Medicago truncatula: one gene and its partner. The protein of the gene in region 1 binds, or shares a complex with, the protein of each later gene. Links are inferred from orthologs where the notes say so. Each region holds a gene or a part of one and is shown in the gene's direction. Other genes may lie near its edges.

What was found.
Region 2: photosynthetic NDH subunit of lumenal location 1, chloroplastic (region 1) and NAD(P)H-quinone oxidoreductase subunit N, chloroplastic share a complex: the UniProt entries of both Arabidopsis thaliana proteins name them as parts of the chloroplast NDH complex. The link is inferred for Medicago truncatula from reciprocal best matches to the Arabidopsis thaliana genes PnsL1 and NdhN.

The regions. Positions count from the first base shown.
Region 1 is NC_053042.1:55,801,627-55,817,835, forward strand, and holds photosynthetic NDH subunit of lumenal location 1, chloroplastic, read left to right. Parts: upstream 1-9,877; 5' UTR 9,878-10,005; coding exon 10,006-10,059; intron 10,060-10,142; coding exon 10,143-10,239; intron 10,240-10,396; coding exon 10,397-10,480; intron 10,481-10,568; coding exon 10,569-10,642; intron 10,643-11,006; coding exon 11,007-11,129; intron 11,130-11,210; coding exon 11,211-11,282; intron 11,283-11,388; coding exon 11,389-11,485; intron 11,486-11,842; coding exon 11,843-11,946; 3' UTR 11,947-12,141; downstream 12,142-16,209. Other genes in the region: F-box protein At2g39490, read right to left, coding at 2,166-2,387, 2,613-2,771, 3,030-3,821; aquaporin TIP1-3, read right to left, coding at 7,250-7,624, 8,066-8,316, 8,623-8,755; transcription termination factor MTERF4, chloroplastic, read right to left, coding at 12,754-14,259. UniProt on the Arabidopsis thaliana protein: NDH shuttles electrons from NAD(P)H:plastoquinone, via FMN and iron-sulfur (Fe-S) centers, to quinones in the photosynthetic chain and possibly in a chloroplast respiratory chain.
Region 2 is NC_053044.1:31,876,358-31,892,654, forward strand, and holds NAD(P)H-quinone oxidoreductase subunit N, chloroplastic, read left to right. Parts: upstream 1-9,527; 5' UTR 9,528-9,665; coding exon 9,666-10,073; intron 10,074-10,588; coding exon 10,589-10,705; intron 10,706-10,945; coding exon 10,946-11,031; intron 11,032-11,270; coding exon 11,271-11,334; 3' UTR 11,335-11,622; downstream 11,623-16,297. UniProt on the Arabidopsis thaliana protein: NDH shuttles electrons from NAD(P)H:plastoquinone, via FMN and iron-sulfur (Fe-S) centers, to quinones in the photosynthetic chain and possibly in a chloroplast respiratory chain.

The DNA.
Region 1 (16,209 bases):
ACATCATCAACAAACCCAAACATTCATGGCATAATCCAAAAAATTCATGAAAAAATCCAACAATAACACAATTCTTTAACAAATAATCTTCTAATAAGCAACACATTTCTTTAACAAACTCATTTATCTTTCCAAATTCATCATCTTCCCTCTATCAACAACACAAACACATCTTAAAAAATAAAAAAAAATCTGGAAACGCAATAACAAAAAACAGTTCATCATCTTCCCCTTCAATTAAAACCCATTTATCTTTAGATTCTTCATATTCCAACAATAACAGCCCAACACCAGCAACATCCCTCAAATCCCCAAGCCCCAAATTCAAAAACCCATTTTCAGATCAACAAAAACATAAATTTGGATAGCCCTAGATCCAAATTTATTTTCAGAAAATTTGCAAAACAAGGTTCCAATTTGAAACCCATAAATTCATCTAAAGAAGAACAGATCTAGAATGGAAGAGGGAGATCACTAGCCATCAATTTGTGGTGGCAGGGAACCAAATTTAAGACCTTCTGCATCAGACTTGTTACTGGTATTTTGCACATCTTCCTCCCCTTCAGCCAACTTACTAATATTCAATTATAATTACAGACATTGAATTTGTTTGCTCTTTTAACTTAATTTTCCTTCAAAATCATTATAGTGATTCTGCCTATTGTCTGCAGCATCCATTCATCACTTGCGAGTATCAGGAATCTTGTTCAATATCACGCGAATAAGGGTTCCAATCGAGTTTGTGTGTGAAGGAGATTGAGCGGAATTTTTTTTGGGAATTGTGAGAGAAGAAGACGACGAGGGCAAGGAAGAGGAAGAAGATAGAGAAAAAAAACTGGGATGTAAGAGGATGAAGAAGGGTTACGGCAGAGAAGAGATAAATTATTGATTTTAATGTTTTAAATTCATTAAATTAAGTTTTACTAAAGGAAATTCAAATGGAATTAAAAAATTTGGAAAATAAATAAAAAAATATCAAGTGCCACCTCATTAATTAATGCACAGTCAGCATGCCATATAAACTAATTTACACAGTTAGATGTGCTTAGGATTCAAAACCAAAGAATCTATAAATTACAATGAGGAATTTTCAAGCTTTTTTTTCTCACGTGGTAAACCAAAAGACCCCAAAATGTCATAGGGTAAAAGCCTATTAATCCTCTTTTCTTTTACTGAACAGTTGTATTGTAAATTTGAAATCGTGATGAATGGTTATACTCTAATACCCTAAAACCCTTTGGTATATATAAAAGAGAAAACAAATAAAATCCGACTAAATAAAATCTTTTTGTTTGTTATGAAAATAAGATAACAAAATAAAAACTTAACTTATAATCTAAAAAGTAAACAAATCTACTATAAATAAAACAAAAATATTTTGTTGGAGTGAACTCAAGTTTCTATTAGAAGTGATTCTTTGTCCACAAGAGAATAAGTTTGTTTATGACGTATGTTTGAGAGATGAAAGATGCCAAATGATTCAATTTCAAGCATGCACACTATGGATGACAGGAAGCCCAGCAACAACAGAAGCAGAAGCCTATGGACTATGGCATGCACTGCAGTGGCTATAATTATTGAACAATCATCATATTCAGATCGAAATGGATTGTATGCAGGTTGTGGAAGTTGTTCATTAAAACCTTGCAGCAGGAAGTATGATCAATAAGTTTAAGGAATTGTTGTTAATCAACACCAACTTTCGGGTATGTTTTGTAGGGCGATAAGCCAATGGAGTAGCTCGTTAATTAGGGAGGGCATCTCAATCCTATGCTAGTCCCTGTATTTTTTATTATATTCACCTTGTATTGAAACTATCATTATTGAAATGCATTAAGATGTTTTGCCAAAAAAAAGAGATCATAACATTCGGTGAAAAATAACAAAATTATACAAAAGGATAAAGGAGATATCATGCAGATAATCAATGATTGAACTATTGTCCATTCATATAGTTATAAAGAAAGACAATCGGACATGCTTTCCCTAGAATACTTTAAAAGAATGAAAAGAAAGAAATAAAACAAGATCTACAAAGGATAAGCGACAACTTTCTCTATCGGAAATGGCTAGACTTCCGCAATGTGACGAATCTAGATTTGAATTTTGGCTGGTAGAGAGATCCATATTTAATGTCTAATGCGTCTCAAATATGATTAGGTAGATCATTGCATAATTGCTACATCCAAATTGCTCCCACTTGACGTCTCTATCTTTGGAGGCTTTCCCTTGACTAGCTGAATTAATATTTTTGCCACTGAAATTTCAGCTATTGGATTTGTGAAACCCTTGAACTTTACCAATTTTAGATGCTCCAATTCTGTATATTTAGTTGCTTGAATTGAGCCTAAATTTGACTGCGGAGCTGAATAACTATTACGATCAATCTGCATCCAATCAAGTATGATAAAACTGTCAAAAACATCAAAATTATATGTAGCAAAATAGAGCATCAATTATTGCTAGGTCTTGCTTGCAAAGAATTAAACAATTTCCATAAGCTATTCCAAGAGTTTATGAAAATTAATTGAAAACAACTTATGAACATGTCAAAAGTTTTTGCAAACAGTCCCATCAAATTTATGCGAGTAGATAAACTCAAACAGTCCTACCGTTATAACAAGTTGCTCCAAGGCAGGGCATAATTTCAAGAAGGAGATTAAGGCATTGATGCTGTTTTCATTCTCATGGTTGTCAATCCACCACAACTCTTTCAATTTATAGAATATAAAACTTCCACTCGAAGGAGAAATTGATGGCCATATCAGTGTCTGCAAGAACTTGGAGTTAAATTATGCATAGGAAAAAAAATGACAACAATGAGCAATGAAGCACTGATACGTTGACATTTATAATAAATTGAGAAAATAAAATAATTAAATGTAACCATGTGTGTCCGTGTTCGACATTGACACATGTTCGACATCAGGCATACATTCAATTTGAAGTGTCAATGTTAGATAAACAATAAGCGACATATATGTATGATACCAGCAATAGTATAAGATGGGAAATTATTGAGAGCATACCTCAAAAGTCCATTCACATAAAGTAAGAACTTCAGAATTCTTTATGGTTAATAGTATTTCATCAAAATCTTGAGCACTCAAATCCCTGCAGCTTAGGCCTTGTCTGAAATCAAGGATGGCATGGCACAAGTTGAAATGAGATTCTGGCCAAATCCGTGGAAGAAGCCCGCGATATCGAAATGATTTAAGTTTAGAAGTTCTAAGATGAAGAGACTTCAACTGCAAGCAATCCAAGATTGTTAACTTGTGAAGCTTTGATTCAGATTCAATGAACAAAGATTGTAATCCACAACAATCGGTGATCGTTAAATTCTCAAGATGATCCAAATTCGAAACGATCGAAGAAGCTACCTCACTTGTCAAATAGCTTAATGATTTCAAATAGAGACTTTTGAATAGGAAAACAGAATGGTAGGTGAAGTTTTGCTTATCGAGCTTGAACCGAAGTTCATATTTTCTTTCAATTTTTTTCATCCCATAAGAAAAATCAAGAAGAAGCTTACTATTAGTTGCAATAGCTGCAAGGAGTGCATTGTCATCAGCAAAGTGAAATCGAAGCTTGCATGGTCGCTTTAACGGATCTAACTCATCAAAATTGGCTAGAAATTCAGCAACAGCACCAGTGATATCTTCCATAGTTCCATGTTTAACAAGAACATGGTTCCATAAGTCTCTCCACCTGGTAGATATGAGGCTGGTTTCAAGTGCATATTCATTTGGTAGAAAAGATACTATGCAGCCTAGAATTTCATCTGGCAAATATCTAAACAGATTCTGAACACTTTCTTCCATGGAATGGTAGCTCTAATGTTTCAAATTTGTATTAGGATATTAAGAGAAAGAATATGAAGACTCAAAATTAATGTACTTTGTGTTATGAACCCTGTGGATGTTATTTATCCAAATATTCAACCTTCCAGTCAATATTTACCGGTCGCGGTCTATTCTTCCTGTTGAATTCAATTCTATAGTATGGTCTATTTTTATATTACAATAGAATCATTTTTTTTTTTTATTACAATATGGTATGGACTATGAACCATCTCTGTTTAACTTTATTTGCTATAGCGGATATCTCAATATAATATATATTTGATTAGTGATTACTATAAGCTATAGATTACGATTCAATATATGATAATTGATGAGACTGGGTTTATTTTGGCAAGATATTACAATGACGTATGCTTTTTATATTTGATTAATTTAATAATATGTCCAAAGCGTGAAGGCTAAAAATGAAAATAAAAATAAAAATAAATTGAGCAAGAAATGAAAAAATATATATAAATATAAAAATGATTTTGTTTTCTTTCAATCAACATATATCTATAGGATATCCCCATGAGCTCAGTTGTCAGGATATTGTATATTATATGCAGGGCTGAAATTCGAACCCTGAACACCCCACATCTTCAGATTTAATTATGTATTGTGTGAGTTATAGCCACTACCAGCTGAAAAAAAAAAAAAAAAAAAAAAAAACATATATATTCTGGATAAGTTTGGATATTAATGCCATTTGAAATAATGTATACTTGTCATTCAAAGCGACTTTAATCAAATAAATAATATCAGTGACGTTCAAACTGAGACTGAGACCAATACTAATGAAGGTGACTTTGCAATAAGTGGTTTGTAAACTTGACCAATTCACAAAATCTATAATCATACATTTAAGATTTGCCAAGATGTTTCAACCGTAGTGGTACTATTAATATTAACCTAAAGTGACGTAAACATATCAAATATATAGTATATATATTTGTCTTATGCTAATTCCTACGGCATATGGAAAAGTTTTCCTTAAGTGAATTATTAATAAAAAAACTACTGATAAAGCAGATATTTGTTTAAGCTTGTTGTTGAAGATAATGGATTCAAGCGCAAGTGCTCCTATTGGAATTGATTTCTTATTGAGTGAATTTCATATCAATCTTTCGATGATTTTATTTTTGGGGGCCAATGACTTCATTTTTAGCTCTGTGCAGATCAAATAAAGTCAACAAAATTAACATCACAGTAAAGTCAATAAAAAACGCATTTGTGACCAATGTGACTTTTATGTTTCAATTTTTAGAACTTTCTTGTTTGGATAGTGTCATATCCTAAATTTTGACCATTTTTCTCTGTTTTTACACATTTTGTTCGTACTTTTAAAACCAAAAATGTCCGTCGTTTTAGACAAAATTTCGGCAGAGATACCCCAATTTTTGACCTAAGATTATATAATGGGGGTACATAATTGTGTGAACGAAGTAAGCACTAGAAAAATTTTATTTGGAAATGATAATTAATTTGGTCATTATCAAAAAGTGTTTTCTTGGTCCCCAAGTTTTGCTAAATTATTTTAGAACGCAATCTAGAATATTTTGGAACACAATCTAAAATATTTTGGTAGAAAATCTAATATATTTTAGTGCTTGATCTGAAATATATTTTGATACTCAATAATATATATTTATGTACTGAATAACATATTTATGTACTGAATAATATATTTTTGTACTCAATATGATATATTTTGGTAGACAATCTAATATATTTTAGTGCTTGATCTGAAATATATTTTGATACTCAATAATATATATTTATGTACTAAATAACATATTTATGTACTGAATAATATATTTTTGTACTCAATATATTTTGGTAGACAATTGGCATATTTTTGTACTAGATGAATTACTTGTTCCCAAAGTTTCTCACCTATTAGTTGTGAAGTTTCTCTATAAATAGAGGGCTCATACAATGCATTCAACACACCGAAAACACAGTTGATGATTCCTGTGTTTTTCCTCTCTTCTCCCTTCTTCGACTTGTCTTGACGAGTCTTTCTTCTTTTTCTACTCCTTTCTGTCCTTTTCGGTTTCAAGGTATTTATTTTTTATTTTATTTTGCTCTTAAGTTATAAAAAATGAAAAAAAAATTAGATTATGTTAAGAGATTTTGTGGTGATCCAACCTCACTACAAAATTCTCATGCTTTAGCTTTAGGTTTTATTTATCATTCAAAATAACAAAAACATCCAAATAACAAAAACCACCAAAAATATTTTTTTACAATAAATCTTGATCTTAAATCAAGTGACCGTCTTTTTATTTTATTTTTTTAATCAAATTTCAATCAACTTAATTCTACTTCAAGTCCATTTTCTTTTAAATTAAAAAACACAAACAGATTCTTATTTGCCACTTGACTTTTCATTTTAAAACCTTTTTCAAAACTAATAAAAAAACACAAAACCGATCAAACGTCAATTTCTACCCCGAACTACGAGGTTTTAATCCCTCATGGGTACGTAGGCAGAGGACCATGTCCTTCCAAATCAAATAAAAATAACCAAAAACATATTTCTTCTCCCTCCATTCTTTCACTTAGATTTTTAGGTAATAATTTTTCAAATAAGCAAATGAATTTAGCACAAGATAATCTAGGTAAGAGGTTCCTATGGAATATCATAGACGCTTAGGGTGCTAGCACCTTCCCTTTGCGTAACCAACCCCCGAATCCAGGTCTTAAAGGTTTTTACTCATTTTTTCCCTCCCACGAATAAAAATCGAGAGTTCAAAGATTGAAGGTTCAAAACCAATCAATGGCTTGATACCCGAAAATCACGAGCACAGATAGCATTCTATTATATAGCATGTCTTTTAAAATGATCGAAATAAATCTACATAAAAATATGCACAGATTTTGTAGAACCGAATCTGATGGCGTTTTTCTTGTTGGTCTTTTTGAATGATGATATTATATTGATCATTTCCTCTTGGATTTTTGTTTTTGGTGGAAGATGATCCTCTTGACTTGGTCATCAAGAAACCTCTCAAGTCGGACTAGTTTAGCATTATTAATTAATCATCTTGTGCCATATGGTCAGGTCACAGTGCATATCATGAAAACATGCCTCCAAAATGCATGTCCAATGCTATAATTTATTTTCAATCATTATTAAATTTAGGTTAGATTAGACAAGAATGAACAAATTCATTTTTTTTTTTACCTTTCTCTTTCAGCTTATTAAAATTAAAATACTATCAGTAACCAACATTTATCCATTTTGGCACTATAATGTAATGAACAAATATTGGTAATCACTTCTAGGCAATAAAAATATTGAATACTCCCTAAAGATTCTACTGCAGTATTATTGATCCCTCAATAATATGTAGAGGGACCAGAATACATGAAATAAAGAAGAAGAAAAAATAATAAAAATTCTAGAAGTCACTATTTGAAAGGGGTTCATGAACGTGATCAGCAATGAAGATATTATTATAGAGAATGGCAGCAGTAGCTGAACCAATGAATGGGCCAACCCAATAGACCCAATGATGAGTCCATGTTCCACTAACAACAGCAGGCCCGAAAGACACAGCTGGGTTCATTGATGCACCATCAAAAACACCACCAACCAAGATATTTGCACCCACAATACAACCAATTGCTAATGGTGCTACAACACCAACATTCCCTCTCTTTGGGTCTATTGCTGTTGCATAAACTGTATATACTAATCCAAATGTCATCACAATCTCAAAAACTAATGCATTCCACACAGACACACCAGAGGATAGAGCAAAACCTGATGTTTCCTGCATATATATATATATATATATATATAAAATCTAAATGTAGCACTGATATCTCAAATTCAACTAGTGTTCAATTTCTGTTTTATAGTTAAAATCCACTTTTGATCTTCTAATTATTATTGAATTAAGATTTTAGTCCACTCGTTCTAAATCTCAAAATTTAGTTCACTTCACAAGTTTTTGAATTTTTCTCAACTACCTGATTTTGAGCTTAATTTTTCTTATATGTCATCTTTCATTAACGACATGGAAATACATTTCATGATATGGTGATGGTGATTTAAATTAAATCTTAATATGTTATTATCCAATTCAACATTGCCACGTCATCAAATGTATTAACAAGAGAACACATCAACAAAATTAAACTAAAAAGTGCATTTGAGCCTATATTTTAAATTAGGTGAAGGAAATGCATGTGTAGTAGATTCATTTAGTTACCATTCCAGCAGTGCATGAATTGAGAAGAATGCAAGCAACAACTGCACCAAGTAACTGTGCAATCCAATACAAAATACTTCTCAAGAAGGTAATGTTTCCTCCAATGAAAGCACCAAATGTGACTGCAGGGTTCACATGTCCACCAGAAATGTTTGCACCAACAGAAACAGCCACAAATAACCCAAATGCATGAGATAATGATGCAACTATGAGACCTTCAGGAGTGGCAGCTCCATTGTTTGTAAGTTTATCTGCCACAATAGCCAACAAGCTATATATCTTCAAATTCTCAACAATTCTAAGGCATTGAAAAATAATTATCTTCTAATGTCACAAAATAAGTTTCTAAAACACTTATTGCTTACAATAAACTAACTAATAATTCGTTTTCAACGCTCTATCTTTTTATTGAGTGAAATTATCGTACATCTCACCACTTCATTTAAGATCTATTTCTAATATCAATCAATAATTGAACGAGTATAAAAAAGATAATGTTAAAAAATGTATATGTAATAATATGTAATACTCTTCAAAAAGTTATCTATATTACTCACTATAGGCCATGCCAGAGCCTTGGCCAGCAAAAACAAAAATGAGCATAGAGAAGAACTCTGCAAAGGCTGCTCTAATTGCAGCAGGATTGCTAGCCTCTCTAGGAGACCCAATTGCTATTCTGTAGATTGCCATTAATTAATTAAATCAACCTTAACATACAGAAACAGAAGAAATGTGTTTTTGTTAATTTTATTAATTTTTCTAAGAGTGAAAATAAAGTGTGAGAGCTAATCATTTGGTGTTTAAACAACAAAGGTAAGTATTAACGGCTAAAGAAACGGTCTCATTCAATTGTTTAAGGGTAAAGACCATGTAGAATCAGTTTATACAGCCTAAGAGTTTGTCACATGATTACTATTTTTGGCTCTTGTTTTGTGGCTGTGATGTAACTGCATGGTAAGATCAAAGGGTTGAGAATTTAGATAGTTAACTTCATGTATTCACCATTGCAACAATTTATCTTTATAAATTGACCGGCCATGATGTCATTGAAATCAACAATGAAACTTGACAAATAATTGACACAAATTGCACAAATTCATTTAGTTCACAAATTTTGGTATCCTCCTTACCCAACTACATAGTAATAGTATATTCCCTTCCTTCCAAGTTGTTTCTCACAAATACTAAGTGCACAATATTTACTAATGGATTTTGGAGGATTTTTCTTTGCAAAATTCGTTCGGTGCAGGCAACTCCAAAGGTCTAGTTCAGTGGTAAAAAGACAGACCCTCTTGGATTCGAGTCTCATTAATACTTTTGCAGAGAGGTAAATATACATACCTTTGAACCCGTCACTTTAAATTTCTCGACCACTAAAAAAAAATCACTCGGTGAAAAAAACTCCCTTCCTTCCAACTCTATAACCAGAAACTTTGGAATGAAAAATAATTAGAAAAATATTATTATTTTTTAAAAAATAATAAAAAATAATAATATCAAATTTTAAGTTTTTTTTTAACATATAGTTTCTGAAAAACTCAAAAAAATCTGATAAAGAAACACAAATATTTTTTGTTTTTCTGAAATATTTTTTAACAAATAACTAATACAATCTGGAAATTTAAAATTTGAATTTTATAAGTATAAATACATAAAAAAAAAAAATTAAGAACAAAATGTGGATATTATATGTTTTGTGCGTATAGAAGATCCAGCTGAGGGGGTATAGGAAAGATTTTTCAAATAATTAAGATAAAATAATAGTTGAGAAGAGACATTATCCAATTAAATGAAAAAAAAAAAAAAAAATAACAAGTTTCATTCTTGTCACATGACCACAAACTCCTAGCCACATCACAAGGTCTAAATTCTACTTACTATCCACTCAGTATTTCTTTCCATCTCAAAACTGAAGCTCTATACCACTCTTCTTCACCACTATGGTAGTTTCTTCTTGCTCTTTAACCTGGACTTCATCCTACTTATCCCATAAGGTGTGTTCATGATATATTTTGTTTTCTTCATTGCATTCACACTATGTTCTTTATACATAAACAGCTCATGTGAACTGTTTCAGCTAAACTTGCCACATTCAAATCATTTGCTTCGGAATACTACAACTTCATCTTCTAACAATGTCTCTTGTGCAATGGAAACAACTTCCAGTACAGAAAGTAAGAGCTTAATCTGTGCTTAAAATAACTACTATCAAGTTTACATTGACTTTACAATGAGCATGTCAGTGTTTGTGCTAATCAAGAATCAACACTTATCAGAAGTAATCTACCTTTATCAAAGCTTGATCTGAGTTTTCTTTTTATTTATTATTAGGACACTGCCAGAGAAGACCACTTCTGTTGGGTATAGGAGCATTAACAGCAAATTTGCTACCAGCAAATTCACTCTTAGCTGAAGGTATTCATAATAACATCTTTGTTTGGATATGTAAAGAGGAGTCACAATCTTCTGAAATTTTGAAATTCAATTAGTCCTTATTTTGTAGAAATACCAGACAGATACCGATCTTTTGTCGACTATGAAGATGGATATTCTTACATTTATCCCTCAGATTGGAAGGTAAAATTCATCATATTGGTTCACAAAATGTTATTCCGTTGTTTTCATATTAACTATCACATTTGAAATATTTGTCCACCTCATCATCTCTCATTTTAAAATATCAATGAAGCATTGATTAAGTTTTTTCACAAATATACATTTATTTATTGTATCTCAGCTTAGTTATATATTCGCGTAACTATATTAATAAGGGTGCTTCAGTATATTGCGTTGATTTTATCACATGAATTAGTACACTCAATGATCTTTGTAAGTGTTTGTGTAATGTTGATCAAAACTTAAGATAAGACAGAGGAATTAGTTTCAACAACCAAATAATTTTCTACAAGTTTGTCACTTGTCTGGGTGATCTTTTCCCTAGGAATTTGACTTCAGGGCACACGATTCTGCATTCAAAGACAGATATTTACAGTTACAAAATGTAAGGGTGAGATTCATACCAACTGAGAAGAAAGATATCAGAGATTTGGGTCCAATGGAAGAGGTGATTATGATTTAGATTCTGTCTTAATGTTATGGAGTCTAATTTATAGTTATACACTTAGCCAGTTTGCGTCTTAATCAGGTTATAACTGATTTGGTGAAACATAGATATACTGCACCAAACCAAAGACCAACAATATATGACATGCAAGAGGTTTCTCATTTCATTTCTTCTCCAATTTGTTTTTTTCAAAAGAATATTGTAGGTTTTGATGGCCAATGCATATTGACAAACAATCATTTCTGAATTCTGAATGCAGCGGACGATAGATGGAAAACATTATTATACAATGGAATATGTACTTACATCACGAAATTACGCTAGTGCCTCCTTTACAACACTTGCCATAGGAAATGGTAAGTAGTCTACCATCTCAAATCTCAGTGTGATATCCAATAAATGTTCTCTCAAAGAAAAGCTAACTCAATATATACTTCTCTGTCCTGTTAGATAATACAACAAGAATCTTCATATAGAAAAATGATTATAAGTGACACAGGTAGAAAATTAACAAAGAATGTGCAACCCAGATAGAGAGACAACATTGAGAAGACTAATTATTCAAATGAAGCCAATTTCTTCGAAATTACACGACTTCAGTGTCATAAAAACAGATTATACTGTTAATATACAGAAGTTCAACTGCATGAGTTTTCAATGCAATCAAAGGCTCCTTATGTAAACTAATAAGTAATAACATTCATTCTGTACAGGAAGATACTACACATTAATTGTGGGAGCCAATGAAAGACGATGGAAAAAAGTACGAGATCAGCTTAAAGTGGTAGCAGACTCCTTTAGGCTCCTTGACATCTGAAATGTTACATGACAATGCAAGACATGTTCCAATTTTTCCTTACACGTCAAGATTGAAATATATGTAAATTTTTGCAAGTGAATGATATCATCTTCATCTATATCATACAAATACAAAAGCTCAGTTTCTGTATTGCATACAGAGGCCATCCACTTTGACACATACATTGCATGTGAATATGATAAACTTTATAAATCACTGAGAATTACAGAAGGATGTAGGTTGCCATCAAAAAGTTTTTAGTTTATAAAAAAACGCTATAAAATCATGAGAAATTTTTTGTGCCAAACAGATCTATTTTAAAGAAATGAACTTATACCCTATTTAAGATATCTGATATATGCTCATGAATAGGCCTTGCCAAACAGATTATATAACAAGGCACTAAACTGTCTCACTCACTGCTACCTTCAAAGTCACATAACCATCACCACTTAAGAGGTGAAGAAAATTGTAATGAATATAATTTTTTTTCCTTTCTTTCTTGATGATACTAATCCAATTTCAATTGTGAAAGCCAAGACGACCAAGACACCAAATCCAAACAGACACAAAATACATGGAAGTTAAGGGCAATATAACTAACAAGTACTATACCACATGCTATCATTGGTTTTATACCTCATTTCACCTGAAAGATAGTTGTGGCCATGAGGGTAATGAATAGATAGAAAACTTGAGATGACAATTGCAGTAATAGTAATATAAAATGGAAAGAGATTAATCATAGTCCTTCATTTGATAACATGAAAGTTATACTCTAGTTATTTCATCAAGCAAAATAAAAATAAAAAATGCATTGTTCTGCTAAAGAGAAACAGTTCTTCTGTATAGCATTTCATCATCACTCTCCTCTTCCTCATCTGAAACTATGTCATTCCCGGGTAGCTCTAATTTCCCACCAATACAGAATGAAGGACCTATACTTTCGGTTTCGATATAATTGCCCTGCAATCTCTCTTCAAATCTCTGGTCACTACAATTCAGCATCCAATTCAATGAACATTTTATCCCCTTGGTCTTGAGCCTCTGGTATCTAGGTTTAATCCTAGATTCCAAACTATAAGTGAAGTATTCTGGAAACTCCACAAGCTCTTTTACAGGTCTCCCCATCTCACTTTTGAAGAAGTAATAACTGTTCTTCATGAGCTCAACTCGCAGCGCAACCAATTGAGGACACTTGATCACCATACTAGCCACATCCTGCGACGGTATTGCCCTACCAAGTAAAAACTCAACCGGTTTCATAATCACATTTTGATGAAGACTAACCACCTGTGGCATCTTCTCCACCACCCTCGCAAACCCTTCCGGATCAATCTTAAGCTTCAAACTGAAAAAATATTGCTGCGAAGACAATTTCGCCTTAAGAGGCAACCCAATAATCAGTGGATACTGAGCAATAACCGATGGCAAATATTCCTTCCTCAAACCAAAACTAATCAAACAATCAACATTAGGTTTCACAGTCTCTTCAAGATCATAACCAAGTAAATAAGCTCTTTTCTCCAACATCCTAGCTAGAATCCTCTTAGGCAACCCTAAATTAACCAAGTAATCAACAAGAGGCTTTATCATAGTACCAACTCTCATCCCTAAAAAATAAGGATATTGTGTAACCATAGGACCAATATCCCTTGGATTAACACCAATACTAACAAGATAAGCCACTGAAGTACTCATAGTACCTTCAAGCTTAAACCCTAAAAGTTCAGGATATTTTTGCAAGACAAACCCAATATCATCTTTCTCTACATCAAGTCCTCTAAGAAACTTAATAACAGGAGCAAGCTCAACAATAACACTAGCATGCAAAACCTGTGGATAATTCTTAATAAATTCACCAAGTTTAGACCTAGAAATCCCAATTTTTTCTAAATACCCTAAAACAGGAATCATGTTTTTTCTAACACTACAACCCAAAATCAAAGGATACTGATTTATATCATCAATCGTTAACCCTAATTTCTGAATAAACTCAACACGTTCCCTCATGACTTCAACGGTTGAAGGAAGCTCCAAATCCTGCAATTCATCAGGAATAATTCCCAAACCCTTGAGATAATCGAAGATGATGACCCGCGAAACGAGTTTCTCTTTGCGGCCTTGAATCACACCCCATGTAACAGTAGGCATCTCGTATTCCGGAAATTTGGAATCTTGGGTTCCATAGAGATTGAATAGTAAAACCCTAAAATTGTTTGAAATTTGGGGATTTGGAAGTGGATTTGGATTTAATTGGTGAGAAATTAGCTTGGAAACATTAACATTGCGTGATGAAAGTATATTGAGGAATTTTCTTCTTGTGAACATTGATTTGACAGTGGAAGTGAAGCACTGAGTGCAGAAATATGGAGTGTGATGAAAATGAAGAAGGTGACTTCAAGTGTGAAGAAAACAGTGTTCCTAAAGAAATTTTGAGGTTTCAAAAGAGTAATGAATTAAGCATAATTCACCACCGGTTGTGCAGCACGGGCATAATAGAGTGTGAGTTTGGGAGAAACCGACAAAGACGTGGTTGAAGTGTAATGTGGACGTTGTGTTCCATGACCGTAATCATCTTATATCTTTTGCATGTTGTGTTAGAGACTCCTGTGGACAATTTATTCAGGCTCAAACGAAATGGCAGCGGGCAAATATGATCATTTTGGAGGGGGATGCAGTAGCCTTACTCGAGGTCCTTCACTTTGCTGATGCTAACAGATGGGATGGGTTGTCTTTGAGTGTGATTCATCTACTCTAGTACAAGCTCTATTGTCTCCGGACCATGGTGATTCGGAATTCTATGTTATTGTTTCTAGTATTAGTTATCAGTTATCTTTACATTCTAACTTCAAGGTAAAGTTTGTTATGAGACAAACAAACATAGTTGTTCATACTTTAGATAGGGCGACATGTTCTTGGACTAGTCACCGTATTTTTAATTCTTATCCTTTTGAGTTTGATTGTTTTTTTTATTGGGTACTTCTTTTTGCATCTGTTTTTTTTTATTAAATTATTTTCATAATTAGGCATGATAAGATAGTGAAATTCCACATTAAATAGATGTAATGTAAGTTCGGATTTTCCTCAAACTAAGTTAAAGATATGGGACGAAGCTAGCAAAAAAATTACGCAAGGGTCAACTATGAAGAAAAAAATAAATATTTTCACATAGGAAATTAAAGGGTGAAATATATTTTTAGTTCCACAAGTGATCATTTTGTAGGTTTAGTCCTTCCGAAAAAATTATTCAATTTTTTCGTCTTGCATTTATGCTCTATAACAAAAAATTAAGGACTAAAATTAAACAAAAATATTTAAAACTTAGCTTAATAATCACAAGTGTTGTAGAGACTAAAAACAAATTTAACCAATATATGAAAACACTATTATTCAAAATTAGTTCATTATTTGTGCAGGAATTGACATTTCGTCTTTGAGACACATTTCGTCTTTGATATATAATGATTTTATGTTATATTTTATTACAAGAATCAACATTATTGAGATTTACATTGATTCTTTTGATGTTCCAACATACTTCATCTGCAACATTGTTCTTTACAAGTTTCATGTTTTTGGGAGACGCCATGATCAGCCGCATTGTAGATTTCGTGGACTTATTCGTGTCTGGTCTTTAGCTGCCACATTATCCCTCTATTGCAATAGATTATATGTTGTGGAAGTTTTGGTTGTGAGCTCCAGTTGAGTTTCATTCTTTTATCGAGATGGTTTATTAACGTAGGATTTTGCGGTTATGTTGGGATTTAAACACTGTTCAAATCAAGATTTGCTTTTGGGTTGTCGTTGTCATAATAATTTAGATTTTACTTATGAATTTTATATTGATTTTGGGAGGATACGAAAGTTTTATGATTTTCAAATTATGTATCTTCTATGAATAGAAGAACTCCTTTGTGGAAGATCGAATTCGAGCAAGAAGATGAACAATTAAAATTTAAATGATAATGATAATATATATATATATCCCCTGAAAAATAGAATTGGTTACAAGGTGTAAAAGTAATTAAAAAAATTGGATTGTGCGGCGTGGCTTATTATGATTGATGTATTGGAAGAGTATCTTAGAACGAGTGACTTTAGCATTTTTATAATTTCTAAATTAACAATAGTTATTTAAAAAAGTTGGACAAAATACGTTTTAAGAAGCCAATTTTATTCATAATTGACTTTTTACTAAACAAATTAATAATGTCTTTTCCAATATAAACAAATAGGTTGTATGTATTTAATTTGTTTATGATTATTTTCATGATAATT
Region 2 (16,297 bases), on another chromosome or scaffold:
CCTAAACTCCTTTCTATAAGTACACCATTTTCCTATGTAGAAAAAACACTATTTTCAGTAAACTACAGTAAATACTATAACTAGTATTATTGATAATAGTGCATGAACAGTACTTGTAGTACTTTTTGCTTATGGAAGATAAAAGAGAAAGAGTGGTTTAAAGGAGTAACAACAACCCCACCTTTCAACCTTCTTTTCCTATTTCTTTCTCTCTTTATCAACAGTACTTGTACAGTACAGGTAGTTGAATTTTTTATTTATGTGTGATAAAAGGGTCTCTCTTACTTTCAGAAAGAAAGGTGAGTGTTTCTTTATCATTCTAAGGAAAAAAAAAAAGAAGGAGAAGAAACTTTCAGAAATTTTCACAAATTTTTAGTTCTGAATTTTTCTATATTTAGTTTAAGTTGCAATTGTAAAAGTATTTTTTTCTAAATAATTTCCTTTGTTAAAAGATGATTTATTTATTTTGTTTTGATCTGGTTTTCTTTGGAAATAGTGCCTTATGCCAGATTTGTGTGGATATGAGATCTTCAATCGTTTTCTCTTCTTCTCTGATTCTCATGAAGACATTAACTACAGTACACTTCCACCTTCTCTGTTTGAAACTACAGTTTCACTTCCGTGATCTCTGCTTTTGACCATTAATTTTCTACTCTTTACTTTTTTGGTTACTGTTTCTGGTTTATTTTATAGGTATAAAATAATAACTCCTCTGGTATTCTGATTCATATTTTTATTTTTTATTTTTATTTACACCCTTTCTTTGCATCTGGTTTCTTTTGTGGAAGCTTCTGGATTTTAGATTGGCTTTGATGAGCTTTGTTTCATGAAAATGGTGAAGCAGTAAGCTGAAGATGTAGTTTTTATTTATTTAGATTTAGATTCTTGTTAATTGTATTATGTTTGAGATTTTATGCTTCTCAATTTTAACTTACATCTGGGATTTGATGAATTGTGCATGGATTTGGAAGGGCTAGAACAAAAGCCACACTTTTAACTTTTAATGTTGAAAAATATTTATTTATGTGAAAACCTTGTATGACCTAGGGTTAGGGTTCTTGCAAAAATTTGATTTTTTAAATATCTACAAGCCAATTACACCAAAATATTGTTAGATATATCTTCCCATTGCAGTGCTTGGCATATTAAGGATTTTACAGTATATAATTGTTAATCTTTAATTCACCAAACATTGGGAAAGATTTCAGATCTTCTGTAAATTCTTGTCCAAAGTAAGATCAGTTAAATTTATCCTACCTATGAGATCTGCATGTCAGATGCTCATAATATCGTATTCATCAATATAATTTGAGCATCTTTGGTCATCTATGAGCCCTTCATAGTTGAATCAAGGGAGTTATAAATTGTTCTAATCTTTGGTTATCAATGATCGATTTTTGCTCTTGAACTTCCTTATTAAGAAAAATAGTTCAAGAGAGCTCTCTTCAGTCCACTCATGGATAGGAAAAGGTTTTGAATTAGCTGCTGACTCATTCATTCAAACACAATAAGAAGAAGCATGATGAATATGCTATATTGTGAATGTGTGAATGATGCGGGAGCTAAATTTCATCTTTCTCTTGTCTTTGCTTGGACTGAAGGGAGCTCCCTTTTGCTGTTTATATATCACTTTCTTCTTAATTTTATTACTCATTTTCCCCTTAGACACTTGTGATAATTTGAAAAAATAGATATAATTATATGTGTATGTATCAAGATGCTTTAGATAGTAGCTCCATTTTGTTTTCATGTCCTGATGTAGTCCCTTTGGTCTTTCCCTGCTAATGGAAGGATTTATTATTATTAGTCCAAAAGTTCTGAATACTCTCCTTGGCTCGGGTTCTTGTTGGGTTCTTATAAGTTTTATTGGCAGACATGTTCTTTATATGGCTTTAGCCATAGTATATGGTAAGTAAATGATTTTATCTTAGTTTCTGTTGGTGATCATGTTTTTATTTTATTTTATTTATAGCTGCTATATGGTAAGTAAATGATACTATTGTTTTCTTTAATTATTAATAATAACTTGTTTGTCATAATAAATATTATCTTTTGGTAGCTTCATTATAAATCATTATGTACAAGATGGATTTAGTGGTGTTCGTGCTAACAAGTACTCTAGATAATCAAAAAGAGAATTTTGTATAGAATGTATTAGAAATGAATATATTTTAGACTTTAAAGAATTCTTCACACAAATTTTAAGATATTTTTAAGGATCGGGTTAACAAGGGCCCCGGCACTAGTTAAGCCGCTAAAAATGAAAAGAAAAATGAAAATACACAATTTCAGATAAAACATTTCCTTTTATAATTTCTTAACTAGGGCATTAGGTGCACCCTAACATTAACATTTCCCTATTTTTAATACATTTGTTTCCTTCTTTAAATAAAAATTTGTTTTGTTGAGTATGTATTTAATATTCAACCATTATATGTAATGATTTTTTTAAATTTAATTATTTAAAATTAATTTAATTTTTGAATTAATTTTGCCTAACCGGTACTTTTTTTTTGTTGTGGTGGTCAGAGTTTGAACCTCAGACCTTGCATATATTATGCATTGTTCGTACCAACTGAATTAAGCTCGCGAGGAACGTCTAACCGGTGCCTAACAAAACTTAACATGCGTGCTGTTTTCTCCAAAATAAATATTAGGAAATCACAATGGGTATTTTGGAAGATAAATTTAGTGGGGTGTGTGTAGAGAAATAATATTTGAACATCCATTTGATAACAACTTTCTCTATCATACTCAAATTATTTTTACTTTATTTCTCTATTGTTTTGGTTTTTGTACAAATGTTTACTTTTCCTTTGTAAATTATGGTTGTGACATAAGTTGTAAATCAATTTGGTTATTCAAATAACACTTCTCATATGGTAAATATTACCAACTCTTTGAATTGCTACTATGTTCATCGTGCTAACTCATGCAATGTCCTTTTCACACACAAGAGTCTCTTATGTACTCTATACTCACTCATAACTATGACTTTTTACACAAACGATTATGTTGTGTACACAACAGAGATCCAAATGGAGTATTTACATATTCTTATTTTATACATGTACTTTATAATATTGTCATATTATACTTAAAGTTTAATCTCACGGGCTTAGTCTTCTTATTTTCACTCACTCATGAATTGATTCGTTTATTTTCTATTTCAAGATTTGATTTGGTCATTCACTGAAGTATTTGATTAATAGAAGGGACACAACGCAACAAAAGGGTAGAAGCTTATTCATGAAAATTGAGTGGATATATATAGCTGGCTCTGAACTTACACACACCTGTGTCGGCCACTTTATTCCAAAACACAGAAACATAATATAGTCTTGCCCCACGTTCTTTGTTGGATGGAGTGGAAGAACTCCCATACATTGCCTAATGCCTGCCATCCATAAAAAAAATCTTCTAACAAATGCCTTTAATGGATACAATCATTTTTTGGTATTTAAACAAATTTTATACATCATTTATTTATATTTTTTTTATTGTAGTATCTAATAATAGTAATCATTTAATCCAGTAAACTCAACACCCTACATAGATTATTTAAATGAAAGTTAATTTCTACTAATAATCTTATATATCATTATATTTTAATATTAAAAAAAGTGGTTCCCACTTAAGATTTGAATGTTTCATTTACACCTTGATACCATTAGGTATTTAAAAAACAATTTCTCAAATCATAAAAGGGAATGCTCCCTCTGCTTTTTTATACGCATTTATTGTTATTTTTAACATAAGTTAAGAAATTTTGTAAAAAAAAAAACATAAGTTAAGAAGAATTAATTTTGTATTGATATGTTCATTTTATATACAACTATTAAATTACCCTTTATGTTTAGATGTATTTATAGTTGGTTTTTATATTTCAAAGCAAAGTATTAAAATTAATCAAGGTTATGTTTGGAAAAAAAATATAAATGCATTTATCTAGTAACACATATTTAGAAACAATTCTTGCTATTATTAAAATGACAACGGTGAATGAAATGTATTTGCTTAGGTGGGGGGAGGATGATGAGGCTTGGAAGTGGAGGCGCCGTTTATTAACTTAGGAGGAGGAGAAAGTGCGGGAGTGCTGTGATTTTTAACTAATATTGTTTTGCAGCCTAATATTTCAAACATGTGGATTTGACATTTACACGCGTCCATCTAATAAGGAGGTGCCCTAAAAGTCAGTCTTTTTGCATCAGTCATCAACAACAACTTAGCATTTGACATTTGACATTTACATTTACATTAGTCAACAACAACTTGGCAGTTGCACACATAACTTAAATTGGAATAAGGAGGTGCCCTAAAAGTCAGTCTTTTTGTTTGGCGTCTGCTGTGTAATTTGGTACCAACATAAGGCAATTCAATTAAAAGACAAATTTTACAACCAAATGCTCAGTTATGTGTGGGGGTGGATATGAGATACTGAAAGATGCAGAGCACTTATTCCTCTCTTGTGATTTCTTTTGTAAACTTTGGTACAATATATCTAATTGGCTTAGTTTCCACATAGTGTATCCTGAACATGTGTCAGATCATTTAAATCAATTTGGCACCTTAGGAGACGAGTTTTTCCAAAGTATTCGCTCAACTTTTAACCTCATATGACCATTTTGTGTGTGAGTGATTTGGATTGAAAGAAATGCTCGGGTCTTTCATCAATAAGAGACCTCGCCTCATCAATTACTCGACAAAATTAAGCTTTAATCATACTGGTGGCTGAAAGAGAACCGTCCTAGCTTTGCTTTCTCTTACCATTTGTCGTGGTTGAATCATTTACCATGTTTAGTTATCTATCTGTAATGAGGTGGCTTTGTTCTTTGGTCCTTTTGTATTTGTTACTCGTTGTGTAGTAATTGTTAAAACAAAAACAAAAACTCTTATTTTCAGAATAAAATTTATATTAAATGATTCTTTAATCGGTGTTCTTAGGACACTAGTAAGCAGAACCTTTACTTTATAGGATAGAATACTACTTGATTGACAATACTGATTAATATTCCAGTTTTACAGCGTGCTTGATTCAGCTTGAATGTTGAAATTAAATATTGGATGAAGGTGCACAATGCATGCAACTGGCATTAGAAAATCACCCTTAATCTTTGTTTTTGTCACGACAGAGGTTGGAACTTTTTTTGAAAGGGACGGAGTTGGAACTTGAAGCTGCAACGTTCTACTTTGTTGACATTCGTGATGTTTTGTTTTTGCTTTTTTCTCTCAAATTAAATCATGTCTATATATTTGTCGCAGAAAGTTTTTCAAAATATAGTTGCAGAGATTGACCAAGCTCCATATAATTACTTGACTGCGGTAGAAGCATGGCCGTTTTATAAAATTTGGTGGTTTAGAGCGAATATACGGTTTGAGTCATAAATTATGAGTATATAAAAATAATTAAATTTTCAAAGTATAAAAATAATTTGTTTTGAAGATGATAGTTTTTACCACGTTAAGAAATGACCTTACAAAAATTCAAAATTCATAAAAAAAATTGAGTTTTTTATTTAATATTCAAATGCTTATACAAAACATTTCATACGGGGAAATATACTTACTTGGGCACAAGTCAAAATAAATATATTTGGGCATGCACACAAAACCATAAAAAAATATAAGAGAATAAAATTGAATAATGTCAATATTGTTAAAGTAATTTCGTACTTATTTTTTGGGGCATAGGACGGTCACCCTACTCACTCTACCTCAGATACGGCCTGGGCGGAGGACAACATTCCTTTGGTGAATAATCAGGTTTGATTTGCTTAAACTAATTTTTTTTTTTTTTTTTTTGCGGTTGTTACTAAACCATGTTCCGACTAAGGATAACTTGGTAAGGCGGAAGATTTTTCCTCAAAATGATCAATATTGTTCAGCAGGCTGCGGTTTAATAGAAGACATGGATCGCCTATTTGTTAAGTGTGATTTATATGGAAGAATTTGGTTTCTTATTTCAAGTTGACTAGGCTTCTCAACGTCATCTCATGAGAATTTATTGGATCAGTGTTACTGTAGTTTGTTAGGTTCGGAGCTATTCGAAAATTGTTAGCTTGACACTTAGTGTTATTTATACTTCTATGGTTTGGATCATTTGGAAAGAGCGAAATATGTGTATTTTCCAGCACATGGTGGAACATTTACAATAATTAAGTGAACAATTTAAGCTTCAATCATTCTAGTGTTTAAAATCAAAATATGTTGCTTTTAATTTTGACAACCATCTTTGGAGGCTGAATCTTATTCTTTGTTTAGTTGTTGTAATTTACTCGTTTCTTCTCTTTTGTTGCTTTGGTTTGATTTGTAATATCACTTTGTTTTTTTATAAATCTTTTCGGTACATTTTGTGCTAAAATGTCTTATCTTAGTTGGTAATATATTTCATTTGAACCTTTAAAAAAAGAAGTTAAAGTATTACCATCAATTAAATAAATAAGGGTCTTGTTAACGAGTGCTCCCGGGACACTCTTTAAGGATTTTAAGAGAATAAATTATTTCATAAAAAGTCAAATATTTTGATTTTCGATGCATTGATTACATAAATTTTCAAAAAAAGTTACCATATAAAAGTCTCAAAGAATGTCTCGGAAGCACTCGTTAACATTTCCCAATAAATAAATAAATAAATAATTAGAGCGTATTATTAATAAAGCAATAGTTAAAGTTGCATTGACCTTTAAACAAGATAAATAAATAAGAACAAAATTTCCAAAAATGGTACTTAAAAAGAAATAGACGGATTATGATTAAGAATTAAATAGATTTTTTTTTTGAAGAAGATAAAATGGAATATAAAATCAAAAGCATGGAAAATCAGCATAAGAAGTGCCAAAAATCAACCGAATAGATTAATTGAAAGCATCCATTGCTTAAATGCTCAAGAGGGTGAAAACATATTCTTTGTGATGGTTGAAGACTCATAAACACAATTTTGGTTTTGATCTTTATGATTGTCGGACGAATCCTTCGTATGTTTAGGATTTATCACCTTGTGTTGTCGTTATAGGCTCTTTATCTTCTTCCTTTTCTATTTCGGTTTTTTGTGACACTGTTGTGAGCCATTTTTAAGCACATCTTAGGTTTAACTTCCTTCTCTTTTTGTTTTTTATTATATATATTGATTCTCTTTTAGCTTCTTAAAAAAAAATTGATAGATTAAATTTGTATTTTAATACATCGTTGTTTTCTATGTTTCATTCCACTAAAAATAATATTGTTTAAGACATATCAGACACTAAATATTAATACATCTTTTAATCGGGATTCATTCAAATTTTGGCACACAATGATGTGATAATAATATAACTCTTTTGCTAAACTCAACTTGTTGAATTGTGATCTCCATAATTCAAACATATGAAGATGTTTATATGAATATTATCAACATTACTAGTTTTTTTTGACAAGATCAAGATTACTAGTTGAAATAGGTTTTACATATGTAAAATATTGTCTTTTTTATTGCTACTTGCGGTGGGTTTATTTTAAGGCTCCACATACGTTGTTACGAGTACCATTTTAGGTTTTTAAAATGGTCTTCTTCTTGAGGCAATACTTAGACCTTAGTTCGAATATACTAGAATATTATCAGTGTAACTGAACTCACTTAAAAACTAAACCAGTTCCTCGAAAAGTTCGAGATGCAAGTACAATTGAACATATCGTTCACTTTTTGACCTATTATTAGTATATTACGTAGTAATTTTTAATGGTTGATGTTCGTGAAATGGATTGGACATGTTCCCCTGGTTTTTCATGTAATTAAATTATAAAGTTCTATAAAACCTCTAAATAAACATTACTATAAAGTGCTAGAGTCTGTTAAGATTTATTATTCTATTATTAGTTGAAAGTTGATGTCATTACTGATGCAGGACCACTTCTTCATGTTTATCCGTCAGTTACGTTAGTAAAAAAATTTATCAGAATCTTAGGAGTGTTATTTAAACAATTAATTTGGTTGATAATTTGTGGGACAACATAATTTACAAAGAAATAGTAGGAAGTTGCACAAAAATCAAAGTAATAAAAAGATAAAGTAAAAGATAATAGAAATATAAGAGGGAAAGTTGTCACATGTTCAAATATCATTTTTATTCTATTATTGGTTGAAGGTTGATGTCTAGGACCACTTTTTTGGATGATTTGAATCACTTCTCCTTCACCGTCACCATTCAGAACCATAATCAATTTTTTTGTCTAATTTAAAATACGCAGTGCCGCACGTGGTAAATCAGCAAAATCATTTTATTTAGGAGAGCGAAATTTTAGACTTGGCACCGTTTAACACATATAGTTGCAGTTTACTACAACAATGAAAATTTTGGTTTGTTTATGATCAATGTTGGTGTTACGTTATTTGATTTAAAGGAAAAATTGAGTGATTATTTCAACGATGTTGCTATAAGAAGTTTGGTTAGTGTTGAGTATCATCCTCCGTTAATTGATTTAGATGAACACGTTCGATTCACTAAGATGAAACTTTAAAACGACGATGATGTGAAAACTGTTCCCTATATTTGATCAATATAGTTCCAAGGAACCAATCGAGATAGACGCTTCCTTATTGAGATCTATCAATATTTTCGGGTAAGTTTTATTGGTCTCAGGATATTTCAAGAAATTGTAGCGTGCATGGTTGAACCTAATTAAGAAACTAGCTTGCCTTGTCCATGATCTTGTTTGTGTTTAACCGATGTTTTTAATTTTTGTTGTTGTTGTTGTTATTGTTATTGTTGATGATGATGGTGATGAATTACATTGTTGAATTTTATTTAATGGAGTGTTAGTCATGTTTTTTCATGGTTTCATTATGCATATGGATTATGAAAACACATTTTGGATTCTAAAATTCAAATGGAGGTATTTTTGAAAAAAAGAAAGAAGAAAGGTGCCCAAAAAGTATGGGGAAAAAAAAATCACAACAAATTGGCATGTAATAAGGATGCATTCACTTCCTTAAAAAAAAATAAAAATAAATAATGCACTTGATATAAGAAATTATAAAAACTTAAATTATCCTATAATTTTAGTTCTTACTATTTAGGTTGAAATATCTATTCATAACGTCAACTTATAATAGTAAGGATCAATTACTAAACGTCAAATTAGAATAGTCAAACAAATAATTTTACATATGTAATAGTGGTAAATTTAGTAGTATAAATACCACACTTTGATTCATGTAAACGTGCATCATTTTTGAGAAATCAAAACATATCATCCTACTTCCTTCTCTCTTGATTTTCTTAATCTGATAAATCCTAGTACTATATATTATTTGAAGTATTATAAATTAAAGTAGTACTTAATATCATTTTATTAGTTCACTAATATCATAAAATAAGTATTTAAATATCTAAATCTTTAACAACACTCACTTTTTTTATACTAAAGGTGAAAACAAATAATAAGAGTGAATAAGTGAATAGTTTCACTACATGATGATATGCCACTATCTCTAATTGAAGGTTACAAGTGAAGACAAGACTTTATCTCATTTCTCCACCATACAACTAATATCATTCATCCTCAGTCTTAATTTCCAATTTCTAACCAATGTTTCTTTATCTTTCAACTTACGAAGAAATAAAAAAAAAAATGTACATTATTCAACAATAAATTTCTTCATTAGCACCAAAGAAAGAAACAAAACAAAAATGTTAGCCTCTGCAAGCTTAGGTTGTGGAGGACCAACATGCTCTAACATTCAGCAACCACCAAGGAACAGCTTCATGGCTGAAAATCATAACAACAGTGTAAGATTGATGATGGGTTGGAGAGGAAAACAATGTAACAGTAACAGAAGTAAAAGGGTAGTGAAATGCAGTAGTGGAATAGGATTAGGTGACTTCATTGGAGGAGATTTGGTTAAATTTGATATTGGACGTTGGCTTTCAGATGTTGAAGAACATAAAGCACTTGCAATATATACTCCTCATGAAGGAGGGTATGAAGGACGTTACTTATCGCGTCTTCAACGTCAAGGTTACTATTTTCTTGATCTTACAGCTCGTGGTCTTGGTGATCCTGAAACCACTCTCACCAAAGTTCACCCTGTTTGCCCTGTAAGTACATACCTTGTGTCTCTTTTCTTATTAATTTTATGAACGAACGAAATTGACCTAGGGAAAACATATTTGAGGACTAAATTGACTACCTAAAAATAGATTCGAGTATCAAAATGAATGATAAAAGATACTCTTGTGGGCATGCTTGCAATTTCGATACATTTAGAAACTATATAGTGATATATATAGCGCCTCACACATATTCAAGAACCAAAATAGTTGTTTGCTCCTTTAAAATACTTTTTCGGCTTTTAATGATTAATAGCTATTATTACCAATGTAGTACATACCAACACTTAAGATTGAAAGTGTGTCTGGCATGTGTCACTGTATGACATCAATAGTACAACGATACATGTGGTGTGGTTACATTCTATAACTTTCATTTTCTCAAACTGTTATTAGTTTCTACGTGTAAGTGTCAATGTCGTGTCTAATGAATGTTTCTGTCTTAGTGCTTCATAGATTATTACTCAAGTTTACACTACATGGAATTTTTTCATGAATCCCAGGCTCATTTAGGAAAGCAACCAATAGCAAGGTGGTATTTCCCACCAGAAGTTGATTACAGATTGGAAGCATTACCACCAAATGCCAAAGGACTGGTGGTGTGGATCATTGAAGCTAAGGTGTGGATTATGCTTTACTTTTATTACATTAAAATACCCCTCACATACTTAAAACAGAATGATTATTGCTTTTATGTTTTCTCATATTGAAATTTATTATAAGTACACCATCTCAAAATGCTTTTAGATGAAGTAGGGTGAATTATTTGTATTATTATTATATCTCTAGGACAATGCACAAACCCACCTATTTTTTTTGAATGGCTGCTGTACTAAAATGTTGCTTCGGATGTTGCTTAGGTTCTCTCCAAGGCTGAACTACAATTCCTTGCTCTGCTGCCAACACTAAGGCCTAATGTGAGGGTCATTGCTGAATGTGGAAATTGGTAGGATGCCAAATTTTCTAATAACCTTTTTGTAGATTTTACAGTTTTTATTCTTCTTTGCTTATTTCTTTTGATATTTATCAGTGCTCTCTGTTGCAAAACTTGTGCTTGAGGACTCCAATTTACTTCAGTTTAAATTTCCACCTTTATATGCAAGGTCTAGTTTGGATTAACATCTAGCAATAAGAGCTTCTCCACAATGAAATCTCATTCTAATGTTTGTTTATGTGAATGATCAGGAGAAAGTTTATGTGGAAGCCGCTAAACGAAATTGCTGGACTAACCACTAGTCAGGAAGCTTGATAGATGATGATGCATTTGATTTTCCAAGCATCAACAACCAAGTAGGAATATTTTCATCTGTCTTCAAGCTTGAACTTCCAACTCAAGGCACTTTGCAGATAAGAAAATACACCAAAAGATATATAACGATGAATGAATATCATTGTAAATAATTAGATTTACCACAACCATGAGTGATATGTACATTCTCAAGGTTTAATTTTGTCATGGCACAAACATTTTCATCAAAGATGATATTTCAAGAAATTATATAGATTTGCAATGTGACATTTCTAGATGTGAAAAAAACACTGGTTTGAATGAACTAAATGGAAGTTTTGCAGTAATTTGACCAACTATAAAACCAAACGTCCTTCGTTCTTTTTGTCTTCATATGAATATGAATTAATTTGCCCTCACATCACAATAGATTAATTATGTTTTGGTCCCTGTGAGCTTAGCTCGGCTGGTAGGGACATCGCATAATTGATTGCGCTTGTGCCGAGGTGCTAAAACTTTGCACGGGTAGAATCCCAGTCCTGATATGCAAACTAGTAACCAAAACTTTCATTCCGAGTAAACCATCAAAACGGCTCCTGATTCTGTAAGGTAGTGACAAGTTAGTCCCTAAAATTATTAATATTTTAAAAAAAAAAACCCGGCTTTGCTAATTGAACTCTTACTTTTATAACTTACCTTCATATTTAAATTGGTCTTCTACATTTAGTCCATTACTACAATAATTTCAATCTATCGAATTACGTTCGAAAAAGACTAATCTGCAAGACAATTTGCAAGGTCGAGGACATATTTGAATTATTAGCAGTCTTAGAGACTAACTTTGTGTCATTCTGCAAATCCTGTCCATCATTTTGATTCTTATGGCTGAGAATAAACTAATTTCAAAATACTATGAAACAAACAATAACTAATTAAACTTGTTTATTGTGGCATAAAATGCAGCTAACAATGGTTATTCATGAATCCTCGCGCCTTTATTCAGCTGTACCTTTATTGTCAAGGAATGTTTTCAAGGACATGAAATTTGGGAATATTGATGTCCCTAAGGGCACTGAACTTTGGATATTGATAATAAGTTTGCTAATGGAACTGCTGGTGCTTGTAAGCATCCACAAGTGTATATGCCATTTGGAGTTGGTCCAAGAGTTTGTCTTGGACAACACTTGGCTTGGCTATGCTTGAACTTAAGATGCTCTTGGCTCTTATTTTGTCTAACTTCTCTTTCTCCCTCTCTCCAAGATACATACATACTGAAGCCAGACCATGGAGTCCAGCTAGTAGTAAGAAAACTATAAACCTTTGACAAAATTTAGGGGCACTGTGAGTCTGTGACATGTGTGTATCATTCCTGATTGGTATCGTATGCGTATCAAACACATGATATGATCAGTTCTATTCTGTCTTCATCCTGTCTATTCTATCTTGATCATCAAATCGATCCTTAAAATATTTTATTACAATTGTACTCTATTTCATGAACCTAAGAATTAATAATAATCTTCTTGCCTAAGTGTACAAAAACATCAATGCTAATTGTATAATGTTGTTGCACTAATTTCCTATTTTCATGTTTCCAAAGTGGCTGGAAGTGGTGGCCCCTGTTTTTCATTTTTGCCTTAATTGGGACCTTTTTTTATATTTTTTCTTTCTTTTTAACCTATTCATGTAATAGATTGGTTTATGGCCTGTACTCTTCTTTATATATGTTTCTTTATTTTTTTGTTGGACAATATATTCTTCTTTCTCTATATACATTAGGTTTTTTGAATAGTTTGGTTTTTCATTTTTTTTAAACAATCCTCGTTATCAATGATTTGGACCTCAACGTTACAAATTCATAGTTATTTGAATACTAAAATGAATCAATATGTTTATTGATAATAAAATAAATAAATAAATAAAAAATTTCTAATAGATTTGCAATGTGTCAATTCTAGATGAGGGGAAAAACTGGTTTGAATGAATTAAAAGGAAATTTTGGAGTTATTAGATCGATTATAAAATCAAAAGGCATAAGCAAAATAGGAATATTGCATTTCATCATGAATTAGAGAAGAAATACTCATAGGCATAGACAAACACATAGGGGCCAGACTAATATTGATGCTCTAACTAAGCTGCCATGACAAACCCAATCAACTTGCCTCCTAACAAAATCTAGCTTGTAATGACTATGATCGGCTATAATTTTGCGACATTTTTCAAAAGATTGTCTATCGATCTCATTAGATGGTTGCTCAACTGGGCCCCTCAAATTTCTCAACCAATCAGGTCGTAACTCTCGATCTTTTTTTTTTTTAAAAATATAGGCAATTTTGAAGGGCTTATTGAACAACCTTCGTCTCATAATTGTATAGATATTAGCATCCACTATTACATTGCTAAGCAGACATGAGTTTATAGCCCTAGTTTTCAGCAGTCTTAAAGGGAAAGGAAAATAGCATAGGCCTCACCCTCTGCAACAACCGAGCATTGAGAGCATTTGTCTAAGATACAAGTGATGCACTAATATTTAAATTCACCCTTCATGAGTCATATAAATCCCAAGCATATATTTTTTCCAAAACCAATAATAATATATAGATTTAGCTGCGCAATAGGTGGATCAACGTGCATTAAATATGAATAAATGAAGTATCAAACTAAAATCTTTGTCTTTTTCTTGTTATTTTAGCTGAGCAGATCCATATACTTATTCCTATCATAGCAAATTAAATCTCCTTTGACTTGAGTTTACATAGAAAGTTAATTTTTAGCTATGAAGCTCCAGTTTGATTTGCAGTTTTTGAATAACTGCAAAAATATATACTTGGCAGTTTGGAAACATGAAGAAAATTGGTTAATTTTCTTGTTTCATTATTGATAACTGCAAGAATATATACTTGGCAGGCTTTGAATCAACTGCAGTTGTTGCTTCATGGTGTCTTATGTTATTGGCCTCAAATCAAACTTGGCTAGATCGTGCTCGTGCCGAGATACTAGAAATTTGCAGCGGTAGAATCCCAGATTTTGATATGATTTCAAAGATGAAGCTGGTAAGGACAACTTTCATTTTGATTAAATTTTCAAAATGGTTCTTGATTTTATAAGTAGGTAACAAGTTGTTGAGAAACGAACGATAACTAAGTTTGTTGTGGCATTCAATGCAGGTGATAATGTTTATTCATGAATCGTTGCGCCTTTATCCACCTGTACCTTTATTGCCAAGACACACTTAGGAGGACATGAAATTCGGGAATATCGATGTCCCAAAGGGCACTGGCCTTTGGATATTGATACTAAGTTTGCATACAAATCCTGATATTTGGGGAGAAGATGCCTACAAATTCAACCCAGAGAGATTTGCTAATGGAACTGCTGGTGCTTGTACTCATCCACACGTATATATGCCATTTGGAGTTGGCCCAAGAGTTTGTCTTGGACAAAACTTGGCCATGCTTGAACTTAAGATGCTTATAGCTCTAATTTTGTCCAACTTCAAATTCTCCCTTTCTCCTAGATACATACATTCACCTGCATTTGGCCTTATTTTCAAAATAAGCAATAAAAGAACCATTCATGTTTGTTACATCCTAAGACAGATTTATTCCCTATGTGAGAAATTTTAAGTTTTACTTAAGGGGGGATTTTCCAAGTGTCAATATTATTGATTACTTATTTTTCATTTAATAAACGTTTTGACTTTTGACACAATCGGAGTTGTATTGGGTCTTAACAAAAGAGGTTAGATTCACATAAATTGTGACCGTCTAATAATGAAAATATATTATTAAAAACCAAAAAAATATAAAATGATGGTTTGATTTAAATTTAATGAAAATGTATTATTAAAAACTAAAAAAATAAAGAAATCAATATATAGAAAAGATAAAGTTATGTTTGCCTTCATCCGAATTTTGGGGGGGGTCTGGTTTTTTGTGTAGGCTCCTGAGATTCATAGCTTATTACTGAGAGGCAGAAAACCAATTTCCAAATGATTCAACTCTTGTAGAAAGGAGAAATCTCTAAAAAGGTTATATACTCTCCATTGATTAATCAAATGTACGTATTTTTCATCATTAAGATTTTATGCAACGTATATATATTGTTGTAACATTGCTTTTGTTAATGCATTTTTTATTGAAATGTTGTTGAATATATAGATTTTACAATAGTTATAGCATCGGGGAGTGATCTAACGTATAATAGAAGAAAAAGGAGGATATAAATAATGGTTCATCATGAGGAATACATGGATGTTGCAGACTCTGATTTTCTCCATAATAACAAAGAACAACTTACTGATGATGACTCAGAATTTGAAACTGTGTTTGAGAATTACTTTGCATTCTCCGTTGCCAAGAATCGCTTCTTTGCCCGAAAACTGCCGCTTCATGTTGTTCTAGGTTCCGGAAAAGGTATGCTCGCGTGTTTCTTTTACATTTCATGAGAAGCACCGATACAAAGCTCATTTTGAAACTCTTTATTATTAGCTGAAATTCGTATGATTCTCACTAATTTATTTGAGTCTCGTTTCTTATTTGATGTGGCTCATTACTAAAATGGTAAGGTCGACTTTAATTTCAACTGTTCTTGAAAAGAAATTGTTGTAAAGTGTTTGCTAGCAATCATGTGCATTCCATTCATTTTTTCATACAATGCAAGTTTCATTGATGTTGTTAAGTGGGATTCATATTTACTAATAAGTTGGCAAACGCTCGAGCAAAGCGAATAGAGCTAAAAGCACTACGAGTGTTGTGTATCAAAAGCGACAACCATATGTTTCAACCAAAAGGGTTGGGGTACAGGAGCAAAGCTCCCTGCACAACAATAATCAATATGTTGTCGGAAACATAGGCACAGTTGGCCAAACTCTATGATTGATCATTGTGTTCCTATGCATCTATTTATTCGTTTTATTTAGAACCCGATTTGTTAATCGAACTGTTGCAAAGTAAAGTGAATCTGTTAACCACATTTGAGG